Linked DNA regions of Canis lupus familiaris. The protein of the gene in region 1 interacts with the protein of each later gene in a pairwise test. Links are inferred from orthologs where the notes say so. Each region holds a gene or a part of one and is shown in the gene's direction. Other genes may lie near its edges.

Region 1 (4,245 bases):
CTCTTTTAATGTTCCCCGAATCAGTAAATGGCTTCTTAATCCATCTAGTTACTTAAGGAGTCATTCTTTCTTTCTTTCTTTTTTTTTTTAAGATTTTATTTATTCATTCATGAAAGACATAGAGAGAGAGGCAGAGACATAGGCAGAGGGAGAAGCAGGCTCCCTGCAGGGGGCCCAATGTGGGACCCGATCCAGGGACTCCAGGATCACACCCTGAGCCGAAGGCAGATGCTCAACTGCTGAGCCATGCAGGCGTCCCTTAAGGAGTCATTCTTAATGCTCCTCTTTTCTTTACTCTTCCCAGAAAACCAATCCATTATTAAGTCCCTTGGATTCCACCTCTCATTCATACACGTCTTGAAATTATCCAACTCTCACTGTCTCTACTGCCATTATCCTAGTTCAAGCCACTGTCATCTCTGCTTTGACTAATGTAACCACCTCCCACCTGGCCTTTCAGCAACCCCACTTGCCCTCTTCCATACTATTTCCCACAAATAGCCTGAGTGAGCTTTTAAATATGTAAATCAGATCCCGTTTAACGTTCCCTATTAGCTGCCCATTAACCTTAGGATACATTCCAAAATACAGTCTAAAAGCCATTATGTGGCCAGTAAGAGCCTGCTCGGTCTGGCCTCTGTCTCATCTCAGCCGAAGCTTGCTCCCTACATCTCAACCACACTGACTTCCTTTCAGTTCCTAGAACACCCCAAGTTCTTTCATGCCCCAACAACCTAACGATTTTAATGTTCTCTTGGCTTGAACCATTCTTTAAGGCTCTTTCATATGCCTGATACTTAAAAGGCGCTTCTTCAAACACTCTTCCCTGATAGTCCAGAATTAATCCATCATCACACCTACTAATTTTCCTTCATAGTACTGATTGCAATTTATAATTATGTAATGCGTTTTGCTTTAACGTCTCTCGCTCTCGTTGCACTTTAGATTCCCTCCAGTGTTACGTTCATTCCTGTAACCCGGTGCCTGACACCGTGCTTTGCACGTGGTCCACAGTCATTAAGTGCTTATTTAATAATGTATGGCGCATGCAAAAGTTGGAAGGGGCTGCAGGGTCTGCATCTGGCATTTCTCTGCCGAGGTTAGGTGCTTCCTCTTGCGAGGTGATAGATGGGACAAATCCCTTTTTTTTTTCTTAGTTTCCCCCCTGCTCCTTGGATAAGTGTTTGCTGTAGGGCCGCGTGAGAGACAAACTGCCTCTAGATAGAGGCGGCAGCAGGACGGATGAGCTTTATTCGTGAGACAGCATTAGCCGTCAGCTGAGCGCTTTGCAACCTCTCGGCGCAGGTGCGTGAAGAGCTGTCAGTCTTTTCGGGAAGGGGGCGGGGCGACTCCGGGCCCCCAGGAGGGGGCGGGTCAGCGTGGCCTCCCCGCAGAAGCTGATTGGCCTAGGCGAGGGGCCGGGGGCGGGGCCTGGTCCCGTCGGGCGCCAGCCACGTCGGACGCGGGGCCGCCCCGCAGGAAGGCCCCTCCCCGGCCCCACAATGCACTGCGGGCCGCGTCACTCGGAGCGGCGGGTCCCGGCTCGACAGGTACGACCCGGGCGGTCCCGGCGCTCGGTCCTCCGCTCCGAGGGTCGCTGGGACCCCGGCAGGCGGCCCCTGGCTCTGACTGCCTGCCGCCGCGGCCTTCGCGGCCACAGACCTTCCCCCCGGGCGGGGACCCAGCGCGTGCCGTGGGGGCGGGAGCCGGGTGGTTGGAGCCGCGGCGCTCGGGAGAGGTGGAGAGGTGCGATGCCGGGGGCTTCGTCCCCTGCGACGGGAGGGGGCTGTGGGCGAAGCCGCGAGCGGCGGCTGCCCCGGGGCTGACCCAGGCAGGGCGCTCCGGGAGGGAGAGTCGCTGTGGGCGCCCCGCGGCGGCGGGGGGCGGGGCGGGGGCCGAGGGGGCGGGGCTGTGGGCGGGGCAACCGGCGTGGCGCAGTCCGGGGGGCGGGGCGGTGGGCGGGGCAACGCGTGTTGTGGCCGAGAGGGGGCGTGGCGGTGGGCGGGGCGTGGCCGGTGGGCGTGGCCCCCAGTTGTTAGAAACACGGTAATCCCTCGAGGCTACTTAGGTGGCCCAGAGAGCTCGACCTGGCGTTTACTGCTTTTTAAAGGCTAGGGTGGGATTTGAACCAGCAGCTTACTTCGCGTCCTGTGGGGATTTAATTTGCATTGAGCCCAGAGATCGGCCGTCGTTGGCCCAAGAGAAACGCCTGCCCTGCCTGCCCCTGGCAACTTTGGGAGAGATGTGGCCTTACAAGGAGACCTGAGCGCTTGGCTGGGCAGGTGGAAGAGGGGCTCGGAAATAGGAGCCCCAGGGACTTGAATCTCTCTGCCCGCAAAAACAGCTTTGGACTTTTTCTCTGCCTTAGTTTCCTGGATCGTCCGCTTGGGGGCAAGTTGGAGAGCTTGAGAAGCAGCCCCTCCTATGCCTAGACAGCCAAGGCAGAGCCCAGGGCTAGAGCGTCAGCCACCAGACGCGAGATGTTGTGATGCCAGCTAACAGGTGGAGCATCCACTTTTCTAAACTCTGAATTTGCTCACGTGCTGAGAGATTATAAGGAGTTGGGCAGTACTGGAAACAGTACCTATGCTTTCCGGTGTTGAAGGTTGTAGTTGAGCACTTGAATCCAACGTATGTGGCCATGCCCTAAATTAATGGGGCGCCTGGGCATTTCCTGTGTTGAAAACCGTGGTAACAGTTTAGTGATTTGTGTGTGTGTATGTGAATGAATTGATTTTTAAAAATCTACGCATATTTTATGTTGATGTTTATTTTTTAAAGATTTTATTTATTCACGAGAGATACAGAGAGAAGGGCAGAGACACAAGCAGAGGGAGAAGCAGGCTTCATGCAGGAAGCCCGACGTGGGATTCGATCCCGAGACTCGAGGATCAGGCCCCGGGCTGAAGGCAGGCGCTAAACCACTGAGCCCCCCCCCGGGCTGCCCTATAACGATGTTTAAAAGAAGCACAGGTCTTATCAAAGACTTGGCTCTGACTTTCCATATACTTGAGTAGGAAGCTTGGCTGTGTCGTGAGGCAGTGTTTGGTTGGGTTCACTGTTTGGTTAGAGTTCAGCCTGTATGGAAGTCTGTCACTTACAAACGTTGGACTTGCCTAAATTCTTTTCTTTTTAAATTTTTATTTATTTATGATAGTCACAGAGAGAGAGAGAGAGAGGCAGAGACACAGGCAGAGGGAGAAGCAGGCTCCATGCACCGGGAGCCCGACGTGGGATTCGATCCTGGGTCTCCAGGATCGCGCCCTGGGCCAAAGGCAGGCGCTAAACCGCTGCGCCACCCAGGGATTCCCTAAATTCTTTTCTGAGCTTGAATTTCCTCAAAGGTAAAACAAAACTGATAATACCCATCTCACAGGTTATCAGAAGGCCTAAATGAGGTAGTGTATAAAGTGCCTGGTAAATAGAGAGCAGTTAATTATTAAATAATAATAATATTCTACTTTTAGTCCTACAGGGTGATGTTTCAGGTTCTTTATGTATCCCTATCAGGTAGATACTATTAGTAGCTTTCAAACAATCCTATGAGATACACACTAGTAGTGACCACAATTTACAGGTGAGGCAACTTGAGTGTAGAAAGTCAAAACTTGCTCACGTTTACAGTTAACACATGGTGGAGCCAGTTTTTGAACCCAGACACCTGTTCCAGAGTCCATCATGTTAACTATTATGGAAAATATAAGGTGGTCTTAAGGAAAATATAAGGTGGTCTTTTATTATTCCAAAATTTGTGGCTAGATAGCTTCAATCACTGGGTTCTTGCCCCTTGTGGGTTTTAGGAGACTGACAACGATTTGGAGACACAGAAAACTTAGGTATAAGCACCAGTTTGGCTATATATTTGCAGTGTGACATTGAGAAAGGGACCTTCAATTTCCTCATCTGTCAAATAGAGGTATTATCTCACTCACTGTTTGTAAACTGTAAGGTGCTGCACAACTGTTAGGGATTGACACATTTGTGCCTGTGTTGGGGGCCCTGTTCCTCGTTGTGGGTATAATCTACTCTGGAGCCTGAGGCTAGATGTACTGTGTAGTACAGGCACCTGTAATAGGAGTACTGAAGGCTGCTGGTAAGGTGTGGGGGTGGGTAGGCAAAACTGTAAAATAAATTCTGATTGTCTTTGGTACGCTTTCCCCTTTTCCTCTTCAAGCTCTGTTTTTCAAGTGTCTTTATGTTAACCTGCGGCTGTACAGAGACCTTCCCTTTTCTCTCAATCTTGCT
Region 2 (3,978 bases), on another chromosome or scaffold:
TTCAAATCTTCACATTCATTTTAAGAACACTCATGAAGCTGCCCAGGTCACCAAGGCTATGTCTATCCCCAAAGCCATCAAGTATCTGAAGGATGTCCCTTTACAGAAGCAATGTGTGCCATTCCATCATCATCATGGTGGGGCCGATAGGTGGGCCCAGGCCAAACAGTGGGGCAGGGCATGGTGTCAGTGGCCTATAAACAGTGCTGAATTTTTGCTGCATGGGCTTAAAGATGTAGAGTAATGCTAAACCTAAGGGTTTAGATGTAGATTCCCTGGTCATCGGGCACATTCAGGTGAACAAAGCCCCAAAACGAGCCACTAAATTTACAGAGCTTGTGGTCAGATTAACCCCTGCAAAAGCCCTCCTTGCCACATCAAGATGATCCTTACTGAAACAGAGCAGATCGTTCCCAAACCGGAAGAGGAGGTTGCATAGATGAGAAAGATATCCCACAAGAAGCTGGAGAAACAGCAATGTATGGCCTGGGAATAAATTCAGCATGAAATGGATGCAAATAAAAGTAAAAGCAGGGGGAAAGGCCTTTAGCTTACAAACCAGCCCATAGCAGAGAATGAAAAACCACATATTGGTAGATAAAAACCTATAGCCAGAGGGGACAGAGTCTTCAGGATCAGGAAAAGAATGACTGAGGCAAGTCTGAGGTTAGGTAGCAGATGTGTGGGAGGAGGCCAGGCAGGTGGCATACTGGAAGTGAAAATGTGAGGCTCTTCAAGAAATGGCCATGATGAACCCCCACACTGATGCCAAAGCACCACCTGCCTTCAGCTGTGCCCCCCTGGGCTTGCAGGCACTGCCTCCTCACTCCTCTCCCTGGAGCTCATCCTAGACACAGGGAAAATTCTGTCGGGAAGTGTGCTGGACTCCACATTGGGTCAGACCCCTGACTGCCTGAGAGGTTCAACCTGGCAGAAGAACAGGGAAAGCCACAAAACTGCAGGGGCAGGTGCCAGCAAGAAAGGCGGCCAATGCCAGGAAGACACCTACGGAGAGAGGTGCAGATTGCCCAAGGGCAAATTTGCTCAGTGCACCCAGCTTTGCTCTCACCGAGGCCAAGTGGACTCATGTGCCAGGGCCGAGGGTCCTCAGGCGCTCTTGAGCTGGCTTATCAGGACCTCAGTTCTGGAGGGCCAGGAACAAACAGGTTTCAAAGTCAAGGGCTTGGCTGGCAGAAGGAGACTGGGTCCTTCACTTCTGTCCCCTCTCCCTACCGGCGTATATAAGAGCCTAGGTCCCATTTGGGAGATGAGAGGGGAAGGTGCCTGCAGCAAGATGGATGTGGGCAGCAAGGAGGTCTTGATCGAGAGCCCGCCGGTGAGTATGACTGTGTGTGTGTATATGTCAGTGAGCTGGGCTTTGCCTCATCCAACCCCCCTCAGCCTGTTTCTTCATCCAACTTCATCTACTTAATTAACCTAGGACTGTGCTAAGTTAGGGCAGGGACACCAACCACTAAGTCCCTTGGGGAGATGGACATGGCAACCAATCATTCCAACATGGGGGGCCGAGAGGCACAACAGTGGTCAGTGCAAAGGGCTGCAGAGAGCACCGAGTAAGCAGCTGCCGTGTGGGAAGTCACAGGAAGCTTCACAGAGAAAATGACATTTGAGCTGGCTCCAGAAGAATAGGTAGGAGCTCACTAGGTGGAGGAGGCAAGCATTGGCAGGAAGAAGGGGTAGCGTGTGTAAAGGCAGGGAGGTGTGAGAGAGCACAGATTATTTGGGGGAATAGAAAGGGATGGGAATGGCCGGGGTGCCAGGGGTCCAGAGGAAACAGCAAGAGACGAGTCTGGTGAGGCAGGCTCCCTTGGGTCTCTCCACGCTAGACTACACGTCTAAGCATTTCTGGTGGAATCCAGGCCACCTCCTCCAAGAAGCCTTCTCTGTTCTCAGCCCTCCTTTGCACATCCATAGCATTGGTGTCCAGCTGTGGGAGGGTGCCCCGCTTGTGCAGGGAGAGGAGGGACCATCCTCACGACCTCATACCTGTTTCCCTGCCTGCCCCACCATGTCAGGACTACTCAGCAGCTCCCCGGGGCCGGTTGGGCATCCCCTGCTTCCCTTCGTCCCTCAAACGCCTGCTCATCATCGTAGTAGTGATAGTCCTTGTGGTCGTGGTGATTGTCGGCGCTCTGCTAATGGGTCTTCACATGAGCCAGAAACACACTGAGATGGTGAGCAGGCCTAGAATGGAGTGGGCTGTGGGTACAGAACCTGTGAAACAGAGGGGCTTGGGGTGGGCTTGGCAGATAGGGAAGTGTTTGATGGGAATGGAGAGGAGGAGGCAGGGGGTGCCTTGAGAAAGGACAGAAGCAGGAGCCAGGTAGCAACCGGGGCTTGGGCTTTTCCACCAGGCTTGTGGCTGGCATGGCCGCCTGTTCCTTCCAGCATCCTGTCCCACCCAGCCTGTCTGAGCTCTCAGAGAAGACGGGATTGCATTTTAGTAAAGAGGGCTGAGGGTGGAGGTAGGCACCGAAGGGATGTGTGGGGAAAGAGAAATACCAGGCCACCACCCTATGACTTCCTCCAGGTCCTAGAGATGAGCATGGGGGGGCCAGAAGCCCAGCAGCGCCTGGCCCTGCAGGAGCGTGTGGGCACCACTGCCACCTTCTCCATTGGCTCCACTGGCATCGTAGTGTATGACTACCAGCGGGTGGGTACACCTGGACCTCTCAACCCTGGGGACGGGGGCCAATGACAAGCCTTTGCTGGACCCACAGAGCTGTGTCACTTCATGCACACCCATCTCTCCCCGGTTCCTAGTCCCTTTGCCTCCCCAGGCTGAGCCCCAGATTCCAATATGACTCTCCCGGGTGCCTAGCCCAGAGGAAGATGGCCCAGGCTCAGGGTTAGGGAGTGAGCAAGGCGGGTCCTTCCTGAATGAACTCTGGGGTTCGTGTACTCAGCTCCTGATTGCCTATAAGCCAGCCCCGGGAACCTGTTGCTACATCATGAAGATGACTCCAGAGAACATCCCAAGTCTTGAGGCTCTCACTAGAAAGTTTCAGGACTTCCAGGTAGGTGTGTGAGTGAGAAGAGGTGGGTCGTCCCCTTCCCAGGGCTGCCGGGAGGAGCATCTGAGGAGGACAGCAATTTGTCACCTGTAAAGCGCTGCTCCCTGTGGGCTGCCAGGTGAGTGCCCTCTCTAGACTCACCTGTACCACCCCTTCCCTACCTGTGCCAGCCTGCTGGCCTCAGCTGAACCTCACCACCTGGGGGCTTCTGACTCCAGCACAGCCCCTCTTTACTGGTGAAGAAAGCAAGACTTTTATAAGGCCCAGAGAGATGGCCTGACACGCCCAAGGTCCCACCGTAAGGACCACAGGTGAGACAGAAACTCCGTTCCCAGGCTCCAAATCAGGTGCTCTTTCTAGGTCAAGCCAGCCGTGTCTACCTCTAAGCTGGGACAGGAGGAGGGCCATGATGCTGGCTCAGCATCCCCTGGGGATCCTCTGGACTTCCTGGGCACCACAGTGAGCACCCTGTGTGGTGAGGTGCCCCTCTTCTACATCTAGGACCCCTCAGGTGAGCAGGTGTGACCTGGGCAGGACTGCCCCACCTTGCCATGTCAGCTGACCCGGAACTGGGGAACCCACTAAGCCAGATCATCTAGGGAGCTCTGGGGAGGGAAGGGTCATACACTTCCCTGTCCCCCGGCCCCTCCCCCTCACCTGATAAACTGTGTTTCTTTGCTCCTCAGGACCCACGGAGGCCCCAGGTGAGGAGGGAAGATCCACGCTCAAAGGGTCTTTGGCAGAGACGCGGGAAGCTGCTCCTGCCCACACCACGGGGACCAGCGCTGGCGAAATGGGAGCTGTGGGGAGAGGTGGGAGCGGGCAGGAGCTGCGGCTCCTGGGCACACGGGGCTCCGACCACGAAAGAATAAAGCAACCTGATTGAAAAATAAAGGGTGCGGCTCTTCCATCCTCCAGGCCCTCGCCCTCGGTCCCGCCCTCG
Region 3 (3,277 bases), on another chromosome or scaffold:
GTCAAGAAAAGCAGAATCACAGATGGTTGATTATAAGGTTATGAACCCAGCTCCTTTGAAGCTCTGCTACTCTCATCCTTTGACCTATTTACCTCTTAAAAGAGAACCTGCCGAGATTCCAGACTGATTTCCAGGTTGAACTCAGCTAGATGAAATAAGAAAGTATATACAAAATTATTTTGCAAGGTCCAAGTCACTATGGAAATCTTAGTTATTATCCTTGTTCCCAGGAACCCACCTCCTCAATCATTTCTTTATTAAAAAATGAAGGACAGGAGCTTGTTTAAGGAACTTCAAGTCTAAAATATAGCTGTTAATGTGATAGCCATGCTTCAAACTGAGAGGAGGTCATTGGCAGTGATTCAGCATTGAGTAGTGATATTCAGAAAAGCAGTAGGAAAAACATTTGTGAGAAAAGAGAGAGATGACTGTTGGACAGAAGCGTCCTGATGCCTTTGCTCTTGTTTGCTCCCACACAGCACAAATTGACCCCGGAATATCTGGAGCTCAAAAGGTACCAGGCCATTGCTTCTAACAGTAAGATCTACTTTGGCAGCAACATCCCTAGCATGTTCATGGACTCCTCTTGTGCTTCGAAATATTCAGATGTTAGGACTGGAAGAAAAAGCTCTCTCCTCTCTAAGGAGGCTCTTGAACCCTCAGGAGAGAGCCCCATCCAAAACAAGGAGAGCACAGGTTGATGCAAGTGGTGGAAATGTACTCCCATATCAAAATGTGGCCCAAGGGGTAAAGTGGGAACAATAGTTATACGACTCTTCAGATTCACAGAGAACCTGTGCTCCGTCTGTTCTGCCTCTCCTGTGGTAGCCCTGGTTTATCAGCTGATTGGAAGATAGAGCCAGGTGTCTGGCACCCAAATGTCTTTTCAGCTACAGTTTTATCAAGTATCCTGTGTGTGTTCCTTTCTGAACTGGTACTCATGAATGAGGAAAAGTCTGATGCTAAGATACTGCCTGCACTGGAATGTTAGACATTAAGAAAATAACAAGCTGTGTTTTTCTAAGCTGAGATCTATTGAATAATGTTTACATTGGTCCCCGGGGAGATGTGTGCTCAGCCATTCAAGACATAGGAGGCCAGAGAAGATGGCCAGGATGTGGTAAGTGTAAAGAAGATCGATTACACCTGGGGCCCAGGCTCTCTCTTTGGGGCCCAGTCCCAGTGTTCATCTGTGTGATTAGCATCTAGTCTGCTGAGGTTCTCCAGGAAATGATCTTCCACTTGAGCAACTATTTACTTGATACTATTTGCACCTTTTTGTTTTCCTATAGTCGAGTTGGTGGCCTGCTGGGATATGTACCTTGCCACCCAACCAGGGATTCCTAATCACTAGTTATTGCATTAGTAGGCTCAGAGATAGAGCTTGGCTTGAAGTTCTGGGTGAGATGAAACCTTTGCTTTGAACCAAAGCTCTGGGGCCCTGCATTCCCCTCCATTGGATGATGACTGCATCACTGCCCCAAGGCCATTCATAACTAAGGTGCCTGGTTTTTAGCTATAGACTCCTTATAAGTCACCTCTCAGCTCTGGCTGGCCAAGAGTGGGGCAGGGCTTTAATCAGAACTGCGAGCAGCATACAGTCCCCAGCTGTTCACTGTATAGTATTGTATCATAACTGCAGGAAGTTTTCATTTTTAAAACTGGATTTGGGGTACATTTATTTGCCTCAGTACCTCTGCCTAAAGGCTAGTCCTAGGGCTGCCATGGTTACTGGCACACCGATTCTCCTCAATTTGTCCTTCTGGAGCCTACATAGTGTGGAACAGAGTAACTTAGCATCTTTGGTCATCTTTGTCTCTCTCTCTCTCTCTTTTTTTTTTCCTGGCTCTGAGATACTGAAATCAAAGTTGTTCTCCACCTTTCATCCTCCCTAGGAAATCAGGATTCCACTGACTTCCTGGGCAGCCAGGGGATTTAGTCTCCTGTGAGAGGATGACAGAGTGAGTTATGAGTTGGCCTGTGGCAATGGGAGACCTGTTTCATCTGGGCCTTTATTCCCTTTGGATTACCTTTCCCGAAACAGTGTGCTGCATAGTTAGGCCTGAGTTTGTGCAGCTTGTTAAGACACTTTTCATGTATACGATGTTCAAGCCAGAGAGAAAAGTCATGGGACCACTTCCAGAAACCTTTCCGCTGTCAGTCCTGTCAGCCTCATGACAGTTTGCAGGTTGTGCCAAACACTTTCTGGGGAAGGTATCCCAGACATGAGTGGGTCTTTTCCCTGGGCCTTACACTAGAGAGGCATTTGTAATATGGAGAGAATCCTTTTTTTATTTTTGCCTATTGTATACACTCTCTTTATGAATGGATCTTACGTTTTCTAGTCCTCCTTTAAAGAACCTTTGAACTATAAGAATAAACTCATCACCTGTCATGGTATCGTTGCTGCAGGTAGATAATGATTGTTGTGGGAAATTTGGGTCAATTGACCTTTGTGCTTTCATTCCTAGAGATGTTTCCTATTCCCATGAGCTAAAAGCTGTTGCCCCAAAATGATGGATGTGGGTTTTCTTACAAGCCCCCTGGTGACAGAGTTGAGGAACAGGGAACTAATGTTGTGAAATTGTAAAGAAACTACTTCCACTTAAACTCTCCATGGAGTGTGCTTCCCAGTGCTCGCTCAGGCTCTAAGTCTATCCCTCCTGCAGGGATGTTCCTTTTGGCAAATATACACTGTAATCTTGAAGTCTAAATTTATATGTGAAATGCTACCTTTTTTTAAAAAAAAGAAACCAAATAAAATTATTTTACTATCAGTGATTTGTATTTTTTTTTCCTATGTCTCCATTCTTTTCTGTTGATTTAACACGTTGCTAAGACTGTCTTGCCCATTTCATCTAGGTAGCCAGTTTATTTACTAGTTTAACTCAACTGCAAAGGCTTTTCTTATACTCTTCTCAGAATACTGCTTCCCGAGTATAAGAATTTTGAAAGCAGGGTTTCCACTCTTCCTAACTCACAGAATTTAACAAGGAATGTTGTGTTTCTTGGTGGGATGTGGCCAGCATCAGAGGAGGAAAGAGGGAGCCTGGAGCATTGTGCCCTTCAGAGTCTAAGAAGTAAAGAAGGGAAATGGTGGTTTTACTGAGGTAGAGGAAGGACAAATTGTACAAATTATAACTGGCAGTGGTATGATGTAACTAACTTCACTAATTCAGATGTTAGTCCAAGAGCCAGGGCTGGACCTGCTCTTCCTAAGCTCTCAACCTTTCCTTCCTGGGGAACAGTTTCACAGTGATGTTGGGTATCAGGGTTT
Region 4 (4,261 bases), on another chromosome or scaffold:
AAGTTGGCTGTGGCTAATATATGTAAGGTTTATGACTCCTGTGCTTTTTGGACTGACCTTTCCAGTGCATGTTTTGCTTTTGCTTCACAGTTTCTTTTCTATATCTCCCTATTCTTCTTCTTTCCCATCAGCCTAGGTCTCAGGCCTACCCTTGACAAGTCAATTAAACTGCTAATTATTTATAGCATGGGAATAGGAGTACATAGTGACCAAGAAGCACACATATTTCCCCTGCTATGGTCATTTAGCTCTCTATAATCTCAGACTAGTAACTCTTGTTGATTGTGACTCAACTAATCCTTTCCATACTTCATTTCAGGGTCTATTGTTCTGACATTTGTCTTTTTATTTTTTTTTGGTTTTTGCTCTGAAACTTTTTCTCATTGGTTCAGCTGTGGAAGATGCTGCAGTTGCAGCAGTGTACATCTGGAACAGTTGGCTGACTTGTTGAACTTCCCCCAGGGACTACTCCAGGGAGAGGAGGGGAGGGGAGAGGTGGAGAGGCCAGAACAGTTGCCTACAAACAGAGATGCCAATATTGCCTGGCCGGTTCTGTGGACCACCCTTGTAAAAATGCACCTCACCTGGCCCTCAATATCCCCATTTATTCATTGAAGGCACATATTCTCTGCTGAAAACTGGTTGCAGAGGCAGGCGAGAAACTCCTCTGGCTGTGGATTATCTCATACAGCACTTTCTGCATTGTAAAGGGACCCACACATATTTGTTGAATTAATTAATAGATCAAGAAATCTCAGGAGACTGTTTGAACCTGCATGGGGCAACATCACCTCAGCTCCACCTGGCTTACCTGCACTTTTCGGCCACTTAGATTGAGGCTCGAGACTCACTCCAGGAGTGGGGCTGCCTCATTTCCACCCCAATCTCACTCCCTTTGGCTCCCAGGCTCCTGGGTTTCCTTTTTCCTTTGGCGCGCCACAGGATTGCAAACACTGCAGGCATGGTTTCATTCCAAACCAAGAACTGTTTTAATTAGTTTAACGTCTGTTAAACGCTTTGAAGATTGAAAGCAACAGATAAGTGCTGGATGATGTTATTAACAACTGCAGTTAATTGCAAACATTTCTATTAATTCTAGGTTCTGCCTCCTTTTCTTTGCTCCACTTTCTTTCCAAGGTTCCCAAATTCTCGGCCTCCCCCTTCTTCCCTCCTCCTGCCGGTTTGGACGGTAGGGGGTTAAATTGGGGCGGAGTCCAGGCATGAACGACAGCGGCGGTCACCAACTGGAACAGGCGCAAGCGGGAAGAACTGGGTGGGGCAGTCAGGCAGAGGCGAACCCCCACGCCCCCAGGCCCCGCCCAGTGGCTGGAGGCCCAGGGTGGAATGGCAGGGGGCGGAGCGCCAAGGGCTGGCCGGCCGGTGGTTGGGCGTTCGGGCAGCCGCCCGGGGGATGGGGCGGGGTCGGCTTGGGCCACCTCCTTCATTCTCCCCTCAGGCCGAGCCGCCCCTCTCCCCCGTGCCTCCTCCTCCCTTTCCCACCCCTCAGAGTGGAGCTGCACATGCGGCAGCTCCCTGCTCCGTTCCGCCCAGCCTCCGTTGCTTTGGAACGGGTCCCTGCAGCCCCTAACCGATGGCAGGGCAGTAGCTGCCTGTCAGGGGTCCTGAACGGCTGAGGCAGACGCGGCGGCTCCAGGGCCTCAGAGAGTGGGTGTCTCCGGAGGCCATGGGCTACCCAGAGGTAGAGCGCCGGGAACCTCTGCCCACAGCAGCGCCGCGGGAGCGGGGGAGCCAGGGCTGCGGCTGTCGCGGGGCCCCTGCCCAGGCGGGTGAAGGGAACAGCTGCCGACTCTTCCTGGGTTTCTTTGGCCTCTCGCTGGCCCTCCACCTGCTGACGTTGTGCTGCTACCTAGAGTTGCGCTCCGAGTTGCGGCGGGAACGGGGAGCCGAGTCCCGCCTTGGCCCCGGCACCCCTGGCACCCTGAACAGCCCCGGTGGCCTCGACCCTGACGGTCCCATCACTCGCGACTCCGGGCAGCCATCACCTCAGCAGCAGCCGCTGGAAGCAGAAGAAACCGCACTCCCCCCACACTCCCGGGACGGGCACCAGGTGAGTCACCTAGTAGGGGCGGTGGCGGTGGCGGCGGCGGAGGCCCCCTTCCCTTGTGGGCAGGGCGGGAGCCCTCCCCCACAGGGCCCTGGGGAGGACTCTGCCACCTCCAGCCAAGTTGCAGGGCCGGACCGGGGAGGAGGCAGGCGAGCCGGGGAGAGGTTGCCCCGGGGCAGGTTGCCCTCGGTCCTGGTCTAGTTCCCCCAGACTCTCTCAGGACCCCTGGACTTGGGAACCCTGGCAGGCGCCCGCCGCCCCCGGCTACCAGCTGCCTTGGGGAAAGTTGGCGGCTCTCCCGGCCGCGGAGGTGCGGACGCTGCCCCTCCGGAGGACTAACGGCAGCAGCTTAGCCCTTCTACTCCTGGTGAGATTCTCTGCCCGCGGTGCTTGTTTTTTCGTGTCCAGAGCTGATGCCAGCACAAGCAGGCTCTCCTTTGGAGTTGGAGCGGTAAACGGCTGTAGTAACTGCTCCACAGTTGAAACAACTTTTAATCGTATATTTAGCGCGGGTCCTTGTACGCTGACCACAACGTGGGCTTGGTCACACTTACCTGCAATTTGAGACTGATTGTCCTCAGTGTTCTAGTGAGGATCAGCGCCCCGGTGGAATTCTGGTAGAAGTATGCCGTCTTGCTAGACAACTTTTGAACAGCAATTTAAAAAATCTATGAAAATAAAACTCACCCTTTGCATGCCGGTTCTGACTCTTGGGGGTGGGGGTGTGAATAGGGTAAGTGTGAAGTCTCTTCACTACTGCTAGTTCCAGAAAAAGAATCCACTGATGGTATAATGAATTACTCAAGAGTAATCTTTCAAGAGCAGTTTTTGTTTTGTTTTGCAGTCTTTATAGTTGGCAAACTATTAGCTTTGGTGATTGTCTTCCACTTTTTCAGCTCTTTATTCAACTAACTTTAGTGCACTTAAAATACGTATTCTCTTAACTGCCCTATTTTGTCGTGAAATTTAAAAGAGGCAAGTGTAAGAGAATCTTTTTGAGGTGGTTAGAGAATAATAGTGAATTTGTTCCTTTTGGGGAAGAGGGCAAGTTGTGCCAATAAGTTTCTTGAAATGAGGGACCCCGGATTTCTATATTTACTACCACATTCAGAGTCATTGTCATACTCTGTAAACATCATTTCTGCTCTTTGACTACCCATCCAAAGCTGGCATCACATTCATGACGAAACTGTAATGTTGGGACTGACATATATTCTACATTGTGCATTGTAAAATTACCCTGAGCCTAAAAATGTCTTGCTAGCACACTCCAACATACTTATATAACAGCTTATCAAAGAAGAGAATCAGTAGACATGCTTCTCATACTTGAAACTTTAAACACTGTAGCTAAATGATAATTAACTAGGATTCTGGCTCCCTTTATCTATCCACCCCCACCCCCACAGTGCCCAGTAGAAATACTTAACAGCTGAACATTGATATTCTGTGAAAAGATGAAGTAATTGAACTTCCTTAGTCAAATGGTAGCCAACCCTTTTCAGTATTTAGGATGGACAGACCTATGTTTATAGACTAAGGATTATAGCAGGACAGCTGCACTCTTCTGTGGTGGTATGGGGCTCTCACTGGTCTACAGTGGCATTTAGTTGCCTATTGTTTGCATGGCACTTCAAATAGTTCTGTCTAGATTTACATACAGCTCCTCATTTTCTGTCCTTTACTTCTGTTTTAATCTTTTTTGAGCAGTCACGACAAGCAAACTGGCTCTTTAGATTTGCTGGCATCAATTGGAGTCAGACACTTTTACAATTGTAAGGGGCCATATGAGTCCATTTTGTTTGATCTCCTTGGATAGCACATAGGTCCTGAGGGAGGGGAATGATTTATCCAAGGTCATTTACAGCTATGGTCAAGGGTAGATAGGAAGTTGGCCTCTTGACTCCCAGTTCAAGAAAGTTCATTTGTTCCCCTATAGCAGGCAACTCCTGGAACTTTTGGGAGAAAGTGGGATGGAGCTCCGTAGTACAATTCTTACAATGTACAGGGCTCAGGTTTGCGTCAATTTCTTTTATTCTACCTGTATTTTGGCCAGACTAAGTTTAACATGTATCTTTACTCTTCCTCACTGTTACTTTCAGGAGAATTGAAGTACACTTTCAAGGAATTTTAGCCCAGATTCAAATTATGTTTCTCTTGAGAATATTAGTTTTACTATACCCACTCTCCCCACCC
Region 5 (2,875 bases), on another chromosome or scaffold:
CAATAGGGCCTTATAAGCCCTAGTAAAGGCTTTGGCTTTGACCTTGAGAGAATGGTGGTCAAGGCAGCAGGCTCCTAGAACAGCTTATGCTGTTTGCTCCCTATACTTATGGGGATGTTAAGGCCAAATCCTTCCGGGGTGCCCAGCCTATATTTTCTATCATCAGCATGGGGTCCTGTCCCAGCAATTCGTGGAGCTCATCAACAAGTGCAACTTGATGCAGTCCGAGTACCGGGAGAAGAATGTGGAGCGGATTCGGAGGCAGCTGAAGATCAGTGAGTTGTGGTGTCTGGCCTACAGGGTCAGGTAACCTGACCCAGCTCTGAGCCTGACCTTTTCCTTCACAGCAAATGCTGGAATGGTGTCTGATGAGGAGCTGGAGCAGATGCTGGACAGTGGGCAAAGCGAGGTGTTTGTATCCAATGTGAGTGGTCATGGCTAGCCTCCCTCTTCTGGGACTCTCATCTTCGCTGAGGCCTGGTCCCCTTTGATTGAGGGAATACAGAGGCCTGGAAGGGAATGACTTAGCATGCCTAGGGTCGCTCATCAAGGTCCTGGCCCCAGTTCTAAGCCTGAGGGCTGCCTGAAAGCTCAACAGGAACTTCTGATCTGCTGCTGGATTCCCTGTGACCTGTCTGGCCATTCCTATCTGCTCCCCAGATCCTGAAGGACACGCAGGTGACTCGACAGGCCCTAAATGAGATCTCAGCCCGGCACAGTGAGATACAGCAGCTTGAACGCAGCATCCGTGAACTTCATGAGATTTTCACTTTCCTGGCTACAGAAGTGGAGATGCAGGTGGGCAAGACAGCTGGCTGGGCTTGATGTGAGACCGTGTTCAGTCAGAAACCCCACTGTGTCTGTCAGTCCATCTCCACTCTCTAGCCTCTCTCCCCGAGGCTTTCATCCCCCTCCAGGCTGGGCCATGCCCCCAGGCTGGCCCTCACTCCCATCTGTAGCTGAGCCCCAGAATTGCTTCCACCTCCACATTACACAGATGGCCACTCCTCTACACTCACCATCTTACCCTGTCTCCCAGTTGAGCTACCCAGGATGTAGCCCAACTCTGGCTCCTCCTCCACCAATAGAATCCACCCTTATACCTCTAAGAGTTCTACTCAAAGATGCTCCTTAGGGGGCATGCCTCCACAGATCTGAATGAGGTTGGGGTGGGAGGTGGTGTTCTTCTGCTGCCCCCGTTGTGTGAGGTGAGGTAAGCTGCCGGCCTCTAGTGCTGCAGCCAATGCCCTTGTGCAGCTGGGATTCATGGGGAAGGCATTTCATTCAGTAGGAGTACCAGGACCTGAAGGCTGGCAGTGCCATGAGGAGGCAGGGTTGGGGAGGGCTTCACAGCTGTTGAGAGGCAAGCCTAGAAGAATGAGCAAATTCAGACAGATTTACAAAGAGACAGAAGTTCACCCTCTGTGACAAGGTATGAGCTTCTTAAGGCGCTTGGCTCCAAGCCACCACTGCAAATGAAGGTTGTAGGGGGTAAGGGAGCAGGGCAGAAGGGACTACATAATAAAAGGGATCCTGGAAGCCACCCTCAGGAGTGTGCACTTTGGTCAGATGTGGTCCTACCCCCACACCTTTGTTAGTGCTGCATTTCCTGCCAGAAAATGTCCTTTAGGCAGCTAGTGTGAGCAAGCAGAGGAGCTGATGGGCTCTCCACCCCCAGTCATCCCTACCTGCCTGAACTGTCCCCCTCCTCTGAGCAGGGGGAGATGATCAACCGGATTGAGAAGAACATCCTGAGCTCAGCAGACTATGTGGAACGCGGGCAGGAACATGTCAAGATTGCCCTGGAGAACCAGAAGAAGGCTCGGAAGGTGAGCCTTGACACCCCTTCCCTCCCCTCTAGTCTGAGGCCCTGGTTGCCTTCCCTCCCCTTCTGAGTTTGTTTCCCTGAACTCTCCCACAGAAGAAAGTCTTGATCGCCATTTGTGTGTCTGTCACTGTCGTCATTCTGGCAGTCATCATTGGTATCGCCACATTGGTTTGAGAGCATTGCACATTCTTGGTGAGCTATTGTGGGCCTGCCCCCTGGCCTGCCTCGTCCTGGGCCCCTGCCTTTCCTCCTCCCCTCAGACCCTCTTCTCCCTCCTTCCCTTACAGGCTCTAAGAACACCGGGGACCCGGGTCCGCCTTCTCTCCCAGCAGCTGAGGGGGGAGGGCAGGACAGAGCCTCCAACTGGACCCCCTTCCTCACACTGGCCCTGTGCAGAGGGGCAGACAGTTCTTCTGGGGTTGGCAGCCACTCATTCATGGGGGCTTCTCCACTCAGGCCACAATGCCTGGGGGAAGGCCTGCAGCGTCCTGTTTGGCTGGGACACATGGTTTTGTAAGAAAGTAAAAAAAGACAAACAGAAAAATGAGCTTGGAGACTGCCCCGTGCATGTATGTTCCTAGAAGAGCTGGCCCAGGGCCTCTACGTAGGCGGCCTCCTCTTTCCGTGGCCATCTTTGGGGCCAGGCCCATCCGAGGAAGACTCAGATCAGACTGTTCAGGTGCTGTGACCACAGCAGGCTAGCACTGCCCTTCTACTCTCCCTTAGGAACAGGTGGGCAGGGAGGGGCTAACACCCACATCTGGCTCAGTATTGTCCTTGGGGAAGGATTACTGTGAGTACCTAACCCCAAAGCAGTGAAGCTGGGCCTGGTAGGCTGGGACATAGGTGAGGTGTGTGTGGGCATCCATCGGCCTTCCTGAGGCCACGAGGCACCGTTGAGTAATGGAGGCTGTTACTCCAGATACAGTGAACAGGGAAAGTCCTGTCTCAGAAAGGGTGACATTTCAGTGGGCTGTTAAATGAGGAGGAGCCAGTTATGAGAAGAAGCAGGGGGAGAGGCTGCAGGGCAGAGCCCAGAAAAAGGCA
Region 6 (4,133 bases), on another chromosome or scaffold:
TCCATAGTGGCTGCACCAATTTGCATTCCCACCAACCGTGCGTGAGGGTTCCTTTTTTTTTCCATGTCCTCACCAACACTTGTTTCTTGTATTGTTGATTTTAGCCATTCTCACAGGGGTGAGGTGATACCTCATGGTGGTTTTGATTTGCATTTCCCTGATGATGAGTGATGCTGAGCATCTTTTCACATGTCTGTTGGCCATCTGTATGTCTTCTTTGGAAATAAGTCTATTCAGGTCCTCTGCCCCTTCTTAAATTGGATTTTTTTGTTTTTCTAGTGCTGACAGTTGTATCAGTTCTTTATATATTTTGCATTTTAACCCCTTCTCAGATACATCATTTGCCCATATCTTTTCCCATTCACTAGGTTGCCTTTCTGTTTTGTTGACAGGTTCCTTTACTGTGCCAAAGCTTTGTATTCTGATTTAGTCCCAGGAGTTTTTGTTTGCTTTTGTTTCCCGATGTTGCATTCTTGAGCAAAATTTCTTCTTCGCTGGAAAACCTCAGTCTTTGCTCTTCAGGCCTTTCAACTCATTAAATGAGGCCTATCCACATTATCAAGGATTAGTAATGTCTTTTACTTAAAGTCCACAGAGTGCAAATGTCAACCAAAGCTCCAAAATAACTTCATAGCAACACCTAGACTAGTGTTTGATGGAATAACTGGGAACTATAGGCTACCCAACGAACAGATAAACTTGACCCTCACAGTGGTCTAATCATTAGGGAAGCTGAGAGAGAATTTGGACTTAGACCAGGGACTGCAGGGCCTGCCTGGGGACAGTGGGCCCTCCAGTGGCTACAGGTAGATCCCTTCTTTCCTGCCCTTCCCTCCTTAGATTCTCATGGTTCCTGCTCAGACTGACCCAAGGCATTAAAAGGCCATCTCCCCTGGGAACTCTACATTGGGGGGAAACAAGATGTGCTCTGTAGAGGATGCCTCCTGAGGGGAGCTGTGGCCTGAAATACTTGCCAGAGCTGGGCTTGCAGAAGCCACAACAAGTTTGGGATCTAACCCTGTTCTGGCTACTGACTGGCTTTGGGGTCCTGTGCCAGTATCTACCTCTCTTTAGAAATGATGGAGAGTAGATCCCACTGGCCCCTCAATGGGGCCAAATCATGTGACCCGAGAGCCAGGGTAGTTCTCACAGGCAAAGTTTCTGAGATAAGTATCAGAAACTCCTCCTCCTAAGTTGCTTACAGAGTAGCAGGGGAGAAGACTGTGAACCAAGCCAATAAGATACAACAGGAACACAAGGTGCTGGGTCCAAGGCCTGAGTCCTGTGGGAGAGTGTGGCTCCACCCCCATGGCCAGATATATCTTCCTCGAGCTCCTGCCCCTGGAAGAGCAGACTTTCCAAGAGTCTGCTCTGTGCCCGGCTTCCTGTGTATCCTGGCTATAGCTTAATAGCTAAGCGCTAGCTGTGATGGCAGGAGGCCCCCCTACTATCAAGGAGGAGATGGAAACATCCATCGCTGAAGAGCTGGTTCCTGGAAACTATGGGAAAAGCCAGGAGCACCTGGTGATAGCAGGTGAGGAGCCCCTGTAATGTCCCTTTCCTTTGGGTGTCTGCACCCAGTCACATGTGTTGGAGAAGGTGTGTTCATGGCTGGGAAGAGTCATATATATGCAAGTATGTGTGGCTATGTGTGTGTCTGTGCCTTGGTGTGCGTATACCTGTATTTGTGCCTTGATGAACAGGAAGCTGGGGGGGAAAGGTATTGATGATGTGAGCATTTTGAAGCCTGTGAGAGAGTAGGATGGGATCCACATGTGTGGTCCTTATCTCCCCCTGTCCAAGCTACCACTGTGTTTATGGCAAAGTATCCAGAGCGCTCAATTTATAAGATCATTCAGACCAATTCTCTCTCCTTTTTAATGCCTTTTCCTCCTTTAGAGTAAAATCCAAACTCCTTTCCTTGATCTACAAGAGCCAGCCAATGCCACCTCCTCAATATATTTCATGCTGTGGTATGATGACCCACAGCACACTGCATTTATACTTGTCCTCATAAGACCCGAAGGCTGATTCTTCCTGATAGCCTTTGTGTTGACTGCTACCTCTGCCTGGGATGCTGTTTTCCTAGATTTTCCATGGCTGCCATCATTTTTGTCTTTCAGGTCTCTGCCTCACAGGTGTTTCTGGCTTTTCTAGAAGTAGCCCTTCCTTCCACCATGTTGCCCTGTTCTTATCATTTTGGGAGCATGTATCTCTTGATCTGAGTTAACACTGATAGATTATACCCATTTTGCACCCCTCACTTCAGCTAAGCACACATAGACAGTTGATTACTAGATTGCTGAGATCTTGTGTCTTGGTCATTGCTCTCCCTCCAGTAACCTAGCCCAGAGTTTGGCCCTCAAGAAATACTTACTAAACTTTTAAACAAATGAACAGACTGAGGCTTGGGATCTGCCAGGGGACAACAGTGAATGAATATTGAATGACTCCTAAGAAGTTTGGGTACCTTATCCTCTTTCTGGTGTGTCCTGTGTCCAGGAAGCCTTGGTATAGCCTCTATGGGTGTTTCTGGGGCCTCTCTTCTTTTGCCTAGAAATGATGGAGCATGGATCCCAGTCTGTGGGTGCTTCTCAGCGGCGACAGAAGGCGGATCCAAAGGCTGCTGGCTCTGCTGCAGGTCAATCGGGTTGGAATATGACTGGCAACCGGAGCAAGAAAGCGGTACTGTATGGAGTCCTTGGCATGCAGTGGCTAGGCTGGGGTTGGGACAACAGACTAAAGGGGCTCCAGCTTCATGACGGTAGGTTGAGCAGAGCCAGATGTTGACTTGGGGCCAAAGGAAAAAGCTTTTGTGTACCAGTGAGGCAATGAAGGCAGGGATGTCCTTTGAGAGGTCAGGGCCATCCTTTGGTAGGCTGGGAGCTCAACCTTGGGTTTCCAGAACACCGGATTCACATATTCCTTGGGGACTACATATACACTTTATTTTGCAAAACTCTATTGTGTGTGAAATGACACTTTCCTTTATAAATAAATAATTCTATATGTATATTTCCTTCCATATCTATATTATCTATATTATCTATATAAATTATAACTATATAAATTATTTAATTATCAACTAAATAATCAGCCTGGAATCATGAGAATCATTGATGAATAAAAGGAAGGAAGGATAGGAAAGAAAGAATCTGTCTGTAGCCATTGGAGGCCCCACTGTCCCCATACAGGTCCTACAGTCTCTGGTCTAAGTCCAAATTCTCCCTCAGCTTCCCTAATGATTAGATCACTATGAGGGTCAAGTTTACCTGTTTGTTGGGTAGCCTGTAGTTCCCAGTTATTCCATCAAACACTAGTCTAGGTGTTGCCATGAAGGCATTTTGGAATTTATTTTATTTTATTTTTATTTTTATTTTTTTAAAGATTTATTTATTTATTTATGATAGAGAGAGAAAGAGAGAGGCAGAGACACAGGAGGAGGGAGAAGCAGCTCCATGCACCGGGAGCCCGACGCCGGACTTGATCCCGGAACTCCAGGATCGCGCCCTGGGCCAAAGGCAGGCACTAAACCGCTGAGCCACCCAGGGATCCCCATCATTTTGGAATTTTAGTTAGCATCTACACTCTGTGGACTTTAAGTAAAAGACATTAGTAATCCTTGATACTGTAGATGGACCTCATCTACGCTATTAAATAGAAATATACATACATAAAACAATATGATTCTCAAGTCTGGAAAAAGATTAAGACAAGTTAGGTTCCTATGTTCCCTGGCTGTTAGGAAATCCAATCAATTGAATCTGACCATTATGTAGCCAATCCTTTAAAGTACCTTTAATGTGGGTTAAGAAAAGCTCTGGAAAACTGGCAGGTACACTGTTACAAAGGATACTGGGAAAAGGTGGTCATTTTGGAGAGGAGGGAGACCTGAGTGTTCTAGGGAATCCCGTGAGATCTCTCACTGTGTAGCCAATCCTTTAGGTTACATTCACTGCTAAGTGAGAAGAAGCTTTGGAAACATGGTTGCTATACTGTTGCAAAAGTTGCTGGAAAAAGAGAACCCAGTTGGAGAGGAGAGGGACCTGACTGTTGAAGGGAGTCATCTGAGTTTCAAGTTCTGTATCCAATCTGTTCCACACTTTCACTGTGAGGGAGGGAAAGCTTTAGAA
Region 7 (4,151 bases), on another chromosome or scaffold:
TAGGCGCCCAGGGGCTGCTGGATTGGATCACTTTTCTATTTTTGGAAGAGCCTATACTCCCCTCTGCCTCTTACTTACAAAGGCCAAGCCGGCAGGATGCCTACTCCAGGGAGGAAAAGACAACATGCTCTTGACTCTTTCACTACCAAAATGGGGCCCACTGCTCTGAGGGCTCTGTTCTACAGAGCCTGAGCTAAATGAAAAACTCAAACCTACCAGTTACTGGAAAGCAGCAACCTCAGCTTGGTCTCATGCTTCACCCCACTCTGCCCCAGTTCCAGAGCCCACGGTCCAGGAGCCCCGCATAAAAAATCCTCCAACCCCGGTGAGAGAGCGCATAGGGGCCTCAAGATGAGGGGTGAAGACAGGACTGCAGGACAGTGAGTGGTGCTGCGGAAACCAGAAACCAGGAATGGAAGCTGCCTGGCCAGGGACTGCAGTAGTCATGAGGCTGTGAGGAGGCAGGGCTCAAGAGCGGGAGTGCTCAGGTGCCCTGAAATAGGCGCCCATGACCTAGGGAACGCTCCGGGCTCAATGCCCTTCGTGGCCCTTCCAGGCCAACACGACTCGTCTTCAGCCTCTCTTTTCATTCGAATTCCCCAAAACTGGAGCCAGAGAGACTTCAGAGCGTATCCAGCCGAAGCCTGACCCCTCCAGGATGCGGAGAGCGAGGCCCAAGGTCACATGGAGCGCTCGGCTCTCCGGGCTGTAATCCGGGGCGCTCCCCTCTGGGACCTGGGGGATTCGGAGCGCCTCTCCCTTCCAGGTTCTCCCCGCCGGCGACCGCATCCTCACCTCCGCGGCCTGCAGAGCTCGGGGCCCGCCTCAGGCTCCCGGCCAAGGCCCTCCTCCACGTGCGCCCCCCGCCGCCCGGCCGCCCTCGGCCCTCGGCCCCGGCCCGCCACCGCGCGGACCCCGCTCGCCGCCCGGCCGCGCCCTCCCGCTCCCACCGCACCCCGTCCCCGCCCGCCGCGGTCCCGCCCCCGCGGCGCCCACTTCCCCCGGCGGCCGCACGCACGCCCCGGCCACTCACCGGTAAAGCCGCTTGGTATGGAGGACCTTCGCCTCGGGCTCGCTGCTCTCCCCTGGGGGGGGGCCTTGGCTCATGGTGCCCGGGTCCGGGGCGGCTCCCGGTCACAGGCCCCCGCCGCCCGCCGCTACCGCCACCACTGTCGTGTCCGGCCAGAGCCGGAGCCGCAGCCGCTGCCGGCCCTGCTCGGCCGCCATCGCTGTGAGGCGGCTGCCTGCGACAGCTCCTCCTCCGCCCGCCAAATCTCGCGATAGCAGCTGCCCAGCTGCGAGTCGGTGGCCTGAAGGTTACCAAATCTCGCGAAGCTCGTTTTCCCTCCGGGAAGTTGCCAGAACTAACTCTGGGCAACGCAGCCTCCTTCCGGTTTTTCCACGTCCTTGCGAAAAACTTTATTGACAAAGCTGCCGTGGGACGGACAGTGGGGCCGAATCTGTGCTGGGTGGCTGCCGATGGGCTCGAAGCCCGGAGCGAGGCTTTTTGCTCTGTCCTGCAGTGGCCATTTGACCATCCTTCCAACCCTTCCCAGCCCCCCACTGGAGCCGCATCTCTTTCAGATGACTGCTGATTCCCCTTCTTCCTTTTCCCCATCACTTGAACAACGTGAATGTGCAGGTTTCCTTGGAAAATGTGGGACACAAGAGTAAGGCTCTCCCGAGACGTGACCCTTGCAGGGCGCCGCGGCCCTGGGCTCCCGCGGCTGGATTTCACTTGGTGTCTCTGGTCAGCCCAGCAAAATTCATGGAACACCTGCTGCCCCCTGGCCACAAGCCAGGGCTCTGGAGATGCAGGGACCAGCAATCCAGACACTGTCCCGCCCTCACAAAGCTCAGGTGGCTTCTGGGGTGAGGTCCCACAGGGATGAGCAGCCACTCTCACATTTCTGCTTGAAAAGTCGCTCTGAATTCTTACAGCTTTCTTAACCCTGAACCTGGCTACAAAGCAAGGTGTTTCGTGGTCTGTGTAAGCTGTAATAGGAACACGAGTTCTTTCCCACCCCTGTCTCCTGGTTCCAGCCACCAGCCTTTCTTCTGTTCCTGAAATTGCCTGAGCTGGTCATTCCCCTGTTCTCTCCTCGAGACACTCCTCCTTTCCCATCAGGTCACAGCCCAAATGTCATCTTGGCAAAGAGGTTTTTCTTCACTCGAATTGTCTTCTTGATTAAGGTCTTTATCATCTGTTACCCCAATAGAACAAGCTCTTTGAAGACAGAGACCTCACCTGTCATCTTCTCTCCTGTGTCTGTGCCTAAAAGAGCGCTTAGCTGAAAACAGGTGCTCAACAAATATTGCATGGATAAATGTAGAAATTCCACCTCTTTTCTGGGTATCCCAACCTATTCCAAACACCCTTTGACGTACAGACCCACTCTTTATCCTCTGCTTTCCTGAACTTCAAGTTCCCACACATCCCATGTGCCTGGAACTCACACTGACCTTTATGCCCAGCTGCACCCCCACTTTCAGAAAGCAGGATATCCTCCACCAGGGCTTTTCTGTCGGCAGATTCAGCAGGGCGGGGCCTGCCCCTTTAATCTGGGCCCCACCTGCTCTGGTCAGACAGGTTTGGAGACACTGGTAGAGGGAGAGAGACTGAGAGGAATAGTTGCGGAGCCAGCAGAGGACCCAGGCAGCTCCTTTCCAGACGTTGGGGACCCTCCGCCTCTCCAGATGGAAAGTAAGAGGGTGTCATGGGTCCACGTGGCAAGGGATAGAAGGCCCTAGAGGAGGTGGAGAGACGGGACTCAGCCCCTTCCAGCAGCACTGCGATGGAGGAAACAGGGAGGGGAGAAAGACAAGAGAGGAGGCATGGGAACAGCCATAATTAGACCTAGACATCAGAATGGACAGCCCCAGGCCCTCTGGAGATGGAGGATGAAAGACAGGGGCTAAGGAAGAGTGTGGAGACTGCCCAGGTACACAACTTGGAGACAGAAGAGCAGGACGCACTACTGCTGCTAATTCCTTGGGACTTATTTGTTGGCAGATCCCTGGTATCAGTTACCAGGAGAGTTCCAAGCAGGAATCTACAAGGAGAAGGGGAGGTTTGAAGGTGAAGGAGCAGCTTCTCCATCCACAGGGAGGCCCCTAGTGGGAAGGAAGCTCCTGGCAAAGCTCTAGAAACCCACTCTTCCTCCTGTTTCCGCACTAGGGTGGCTATGACCCCAGGGATTTGGGTGGAGGGGTTAGGAAGAGTGGGTGGACTGGCCGGGGCCACAGCTGCCAGCGCCTGTGCCCCCTGACTCACCCTCTCCTGCTGGATGGCCTTTGATGGTGAAAAGGTGTCTCCATTATGGCTGCTCACTTCCCTCCCATCTCCTGTGTCAACACCTTCCTCTGTACCATGTTCACCCTAAGGTCCCAGAAGGGGCTAATGCCCATGAGACCAGCTGCCCGGAACCATTCCAATTCTATCAACCTGTCCCAAGGGCCAGAAGCCAGGAACTTCTAACAGAGCTTTCCTCCACTCCCTCCAGGGTGATATGACCTTATGGTAGACACCAGAACTGAGGCCCCAGCATGACAGAACCCGAAACCCTGGCCCTGCTGCAAGTGAAGGGGTCTGAGGCTGTGGAGAAGAGCCTGCCCCAGGCCCTGGTCCCCAATGGCCAGCAGCCGGAAGAGGAAGGTGGGGCTGAGTCCCACAGAGCTGAGTCCTCCGAGATGGGGTCTCCAGCTAGATCTCCTGTGGCTGGAGAGGGGGCTGAGGATGGTCTCAACAGCACAGTGAGTGAGGCTGCCACCTTGCCATGGGGGACCGGCCCCCAGCCCAGCGCCCCATTCCCAGACCCCCCAGGCTGGCGGGACATCGAGCCAGAGCCACTCCGGTCGGAGCCACCCACCAAGCTAGAGGAGCTGTGCGAAGATGATGCCAACTTGCTGCCCGAGAAGGTGGCCCGGGCCTTTGTACCCATCGACCTGCAGTGCATCGAGCGGCGGCCCCAGGAGGACTCAGCTGTGCACTGTGAGGCGGGCGAGGGCGAGCGCAGACGGGCCTGCCTGTCCTCCCGGGCTGCTCAGCCTGAGCCCCGCGAGCGCAAGTGGGCTGAGGCCGTGGTGAAGCCGCCTGGCCGCTCCTGCAGGGGCTGCAGGGGCTGCGGGGGCCGGGAGGGGCTGAGAGCCGT

The links.
Region 2: the proteins of SEC22A (region 1) and SFTPC interact in binary tests that used the Homo sapiens proteins (3 or more experiments, as listed by UniProt). The two-hybrid records come from large-scale screens. The link is inferred for Canis lupus familiaris from reciprocal best matches to the Homo sapiens genes SEC22A and SFTPC.
Region 3: the proteins of SEC22A (region 1) and ERLIN1 interact in binary tests that used the Homo sapiens proteins (3 or more experiments, as listed by UniProt). The two-hybrid records come from large-scale screens. The link is inferred for Canis lupus familiaris from reciprocal best matches to the Homo sapiens genes SEC22A and ERLIN1.
Region 4: the proteins of SEC22A (region 1) and EDA interact in binary tests that used the Homo sapiens proteins (3 or more experiments, as listed by UniProt). The two-hybrid records come from large-scale screens. The link is inferred for Canis lupus familiaris from reciprocal best matches to the Homo sapiens genes SEC22A and EDA.
Region 5: the proteins of SEC22A (region 1) and STX4 interact in binary tests that used the Homo sapiens proteins (3 or more experiments, as listed by UniProt). The two-hybrid records come from large-scale screens. The link is inferred for Canis lupus familiaris from reciprocal best matches to the Homo sapiens genes SEC22A and STX4.
Region 6: the proteins of SEC22A (region 1) and FATE1 interact in binary tests that used the Homo sapiens proteins (3 or more experiments, as listed by UniProt). The two-hybrid records come from large-scale screens. The link is inferred for Canis lupus familiaris from reciprocal best matches to the Homo sapiens genes SEC22A and FATE1.
Region 7: the proteins of SEC22A (region 1) and TMEM79 interact in binary tests that used the Homo sapiens proteins (3 or more experiments, as listed by UniProt). The two-hybrid records come from large-scale screens. The link is inferred for Canis lupus familiaris from reciprocal best matches to the Homo sapiens genes SEC22A and TMEM79.

Annotation. Positions count from the first base shown.
Region 1 is NC_049254.1:26,897,105-26,901,349, forward strand, and holds the start of SEC22A (vesicle-trafficking protein SEC22a), read left to right. Parts: upstream 1-1,445; 5' UTR 1,446-1,550; intron 1,551-1,620; exon of another isoform or gene 1,621-1,746; intron 1,747-2,025; exon of another isoform or gene 2,026-2,368; 5' UTR 2,369-2,488; coding exon 2,489-2,502; intron 2,503-4,245. UniProt on the Homo sapiens protein: May be involved in vesicle transport between the ER and the Golgi complex.
Region 2 is NC_049246.1:35,255,085-35,259,062, reverse strand, and holds SFTPC (pulmonary surfactant-associated protein C), read left to right. Parts: upstream 1-1,178; 5' UTR 1,179-1,267; coding exon 1,268-1,336; intron 1,337-2,036; coding exon 2,037-2,195; intron 2,196-2,551; coding exon 2,552-2,674; intron 2,675-2,927; coding exon 2,928-3,038; intron 3,039-3,395; coding exon 3,396-3,536; 3' UTR 3,537-3,546; intron 3,547-3,721; 3' UTR 3,722-3,929; downstream 3,930-3,978. UniProt on the Homo sapiens protein: Pulmonary surfactant associated proteins promote alveolar stability by lowering the surface tension at the air-liquid interface in the peripheral air spaces.
Region 3 is NC_049249.1:13,112,007-13,115,283, reverse strand, and holds the end of ERLIN1 (erlin-1), read left to right. Parts: intron 1-479; coding exon 480-701; 3' UTR 702-2,777; downstream 2,778-3,277. UniProt on the Homo sapiens protein: Component of the ERLIN1/ERLIN2 complex which mediates the endoplasmic reticulum-associated degradation (ERAD) of inositol 1,4,5-trisphosphate receptors (IP3Rs).
Region 4 is NC_049260.1:54,265,629-54,269,889, forward strand, and holds the start of EDA (ectodysplasin-A), read left to right. Parts: upstream 1-1,461; 5' UTR 1,462-1,684; coding exon 1,685-2,068; intron 2,069-4,261. UniProt on the Homo sapiens protein: Cytokine which is involved in epithelial-mesenchymal signaling during morphogenesis of ectodermal organs. Functions as a ligand activating the DEATH-domain containing receptors EDAR and EDA2R. May also play a role in cell adhesion.
Region 5 is NC_049227.1:17,346,011-17,348,885, reverse strand, and holds the end of STX4 (syntaxin-4), read left to right. Parts: intron 1-166; coding exon 167-275; intron 276-347; coding exon 348-424; intron 425-660; coding exon 661-798; intron 799-1,718; coding exon 1,719-1,829; intron 1,830-1,921; coding exon 1,922-2,002; 3' UTR 2,003-2,020; intron 2,021-2,115; 3' UTR 2,116-2,375; downstream 2,376-2,875. UniProt on the Homo sapiens protein: Plasma membrane t-SNARE that mediates docking of transport vesicles. Necessary for the translocation of SLC2A4 from intracellular vesicles to the plasma membrane.
Region 6 is NC_049260.1:120,980,271-120,984,403, forward strand, and holds the start of FATE1 (fetal and adult testis-expressed transcript protein), read left to right. Parts: upstream 1-1,333; 5' UTR 1,334-1,428; coding exon 1,429-1,534; intron 1,535-2,557; coding exon 2,558-2,685; intron 2,686-4,133. UniProt on the Homo sapiens protein: Involved in the regulation of endoplasmic reticulum (ER)-mitochondria coupling. Negatively regulates the ER-mitochondria distance and Ca(2+) transfer from ER to mitochondria possibly implicating it in the regulation of apoptosis.
Region 7 is NC_049228.1:41,578,400-41,582,550, reverse strand, and holds the start of TMEM79 (transmembrane protein 79), read left to right. Parts: upstream 1-1,351; 5' UTR 1,352-1,670; exon of another isoform or gene 1,671-2,219; 5' UTR 2,220-2,301; intron 2,302-2,586; exon of another isoform or gene 2,587-2,590; 5' UTR 2,591-2,704; intron 2,705-3,503; 5' UTR 3,504-3,546; coding exon 3,547-4,151. Other genes in the region: protein SMG5, read right to left, coding at 1,034-1,107.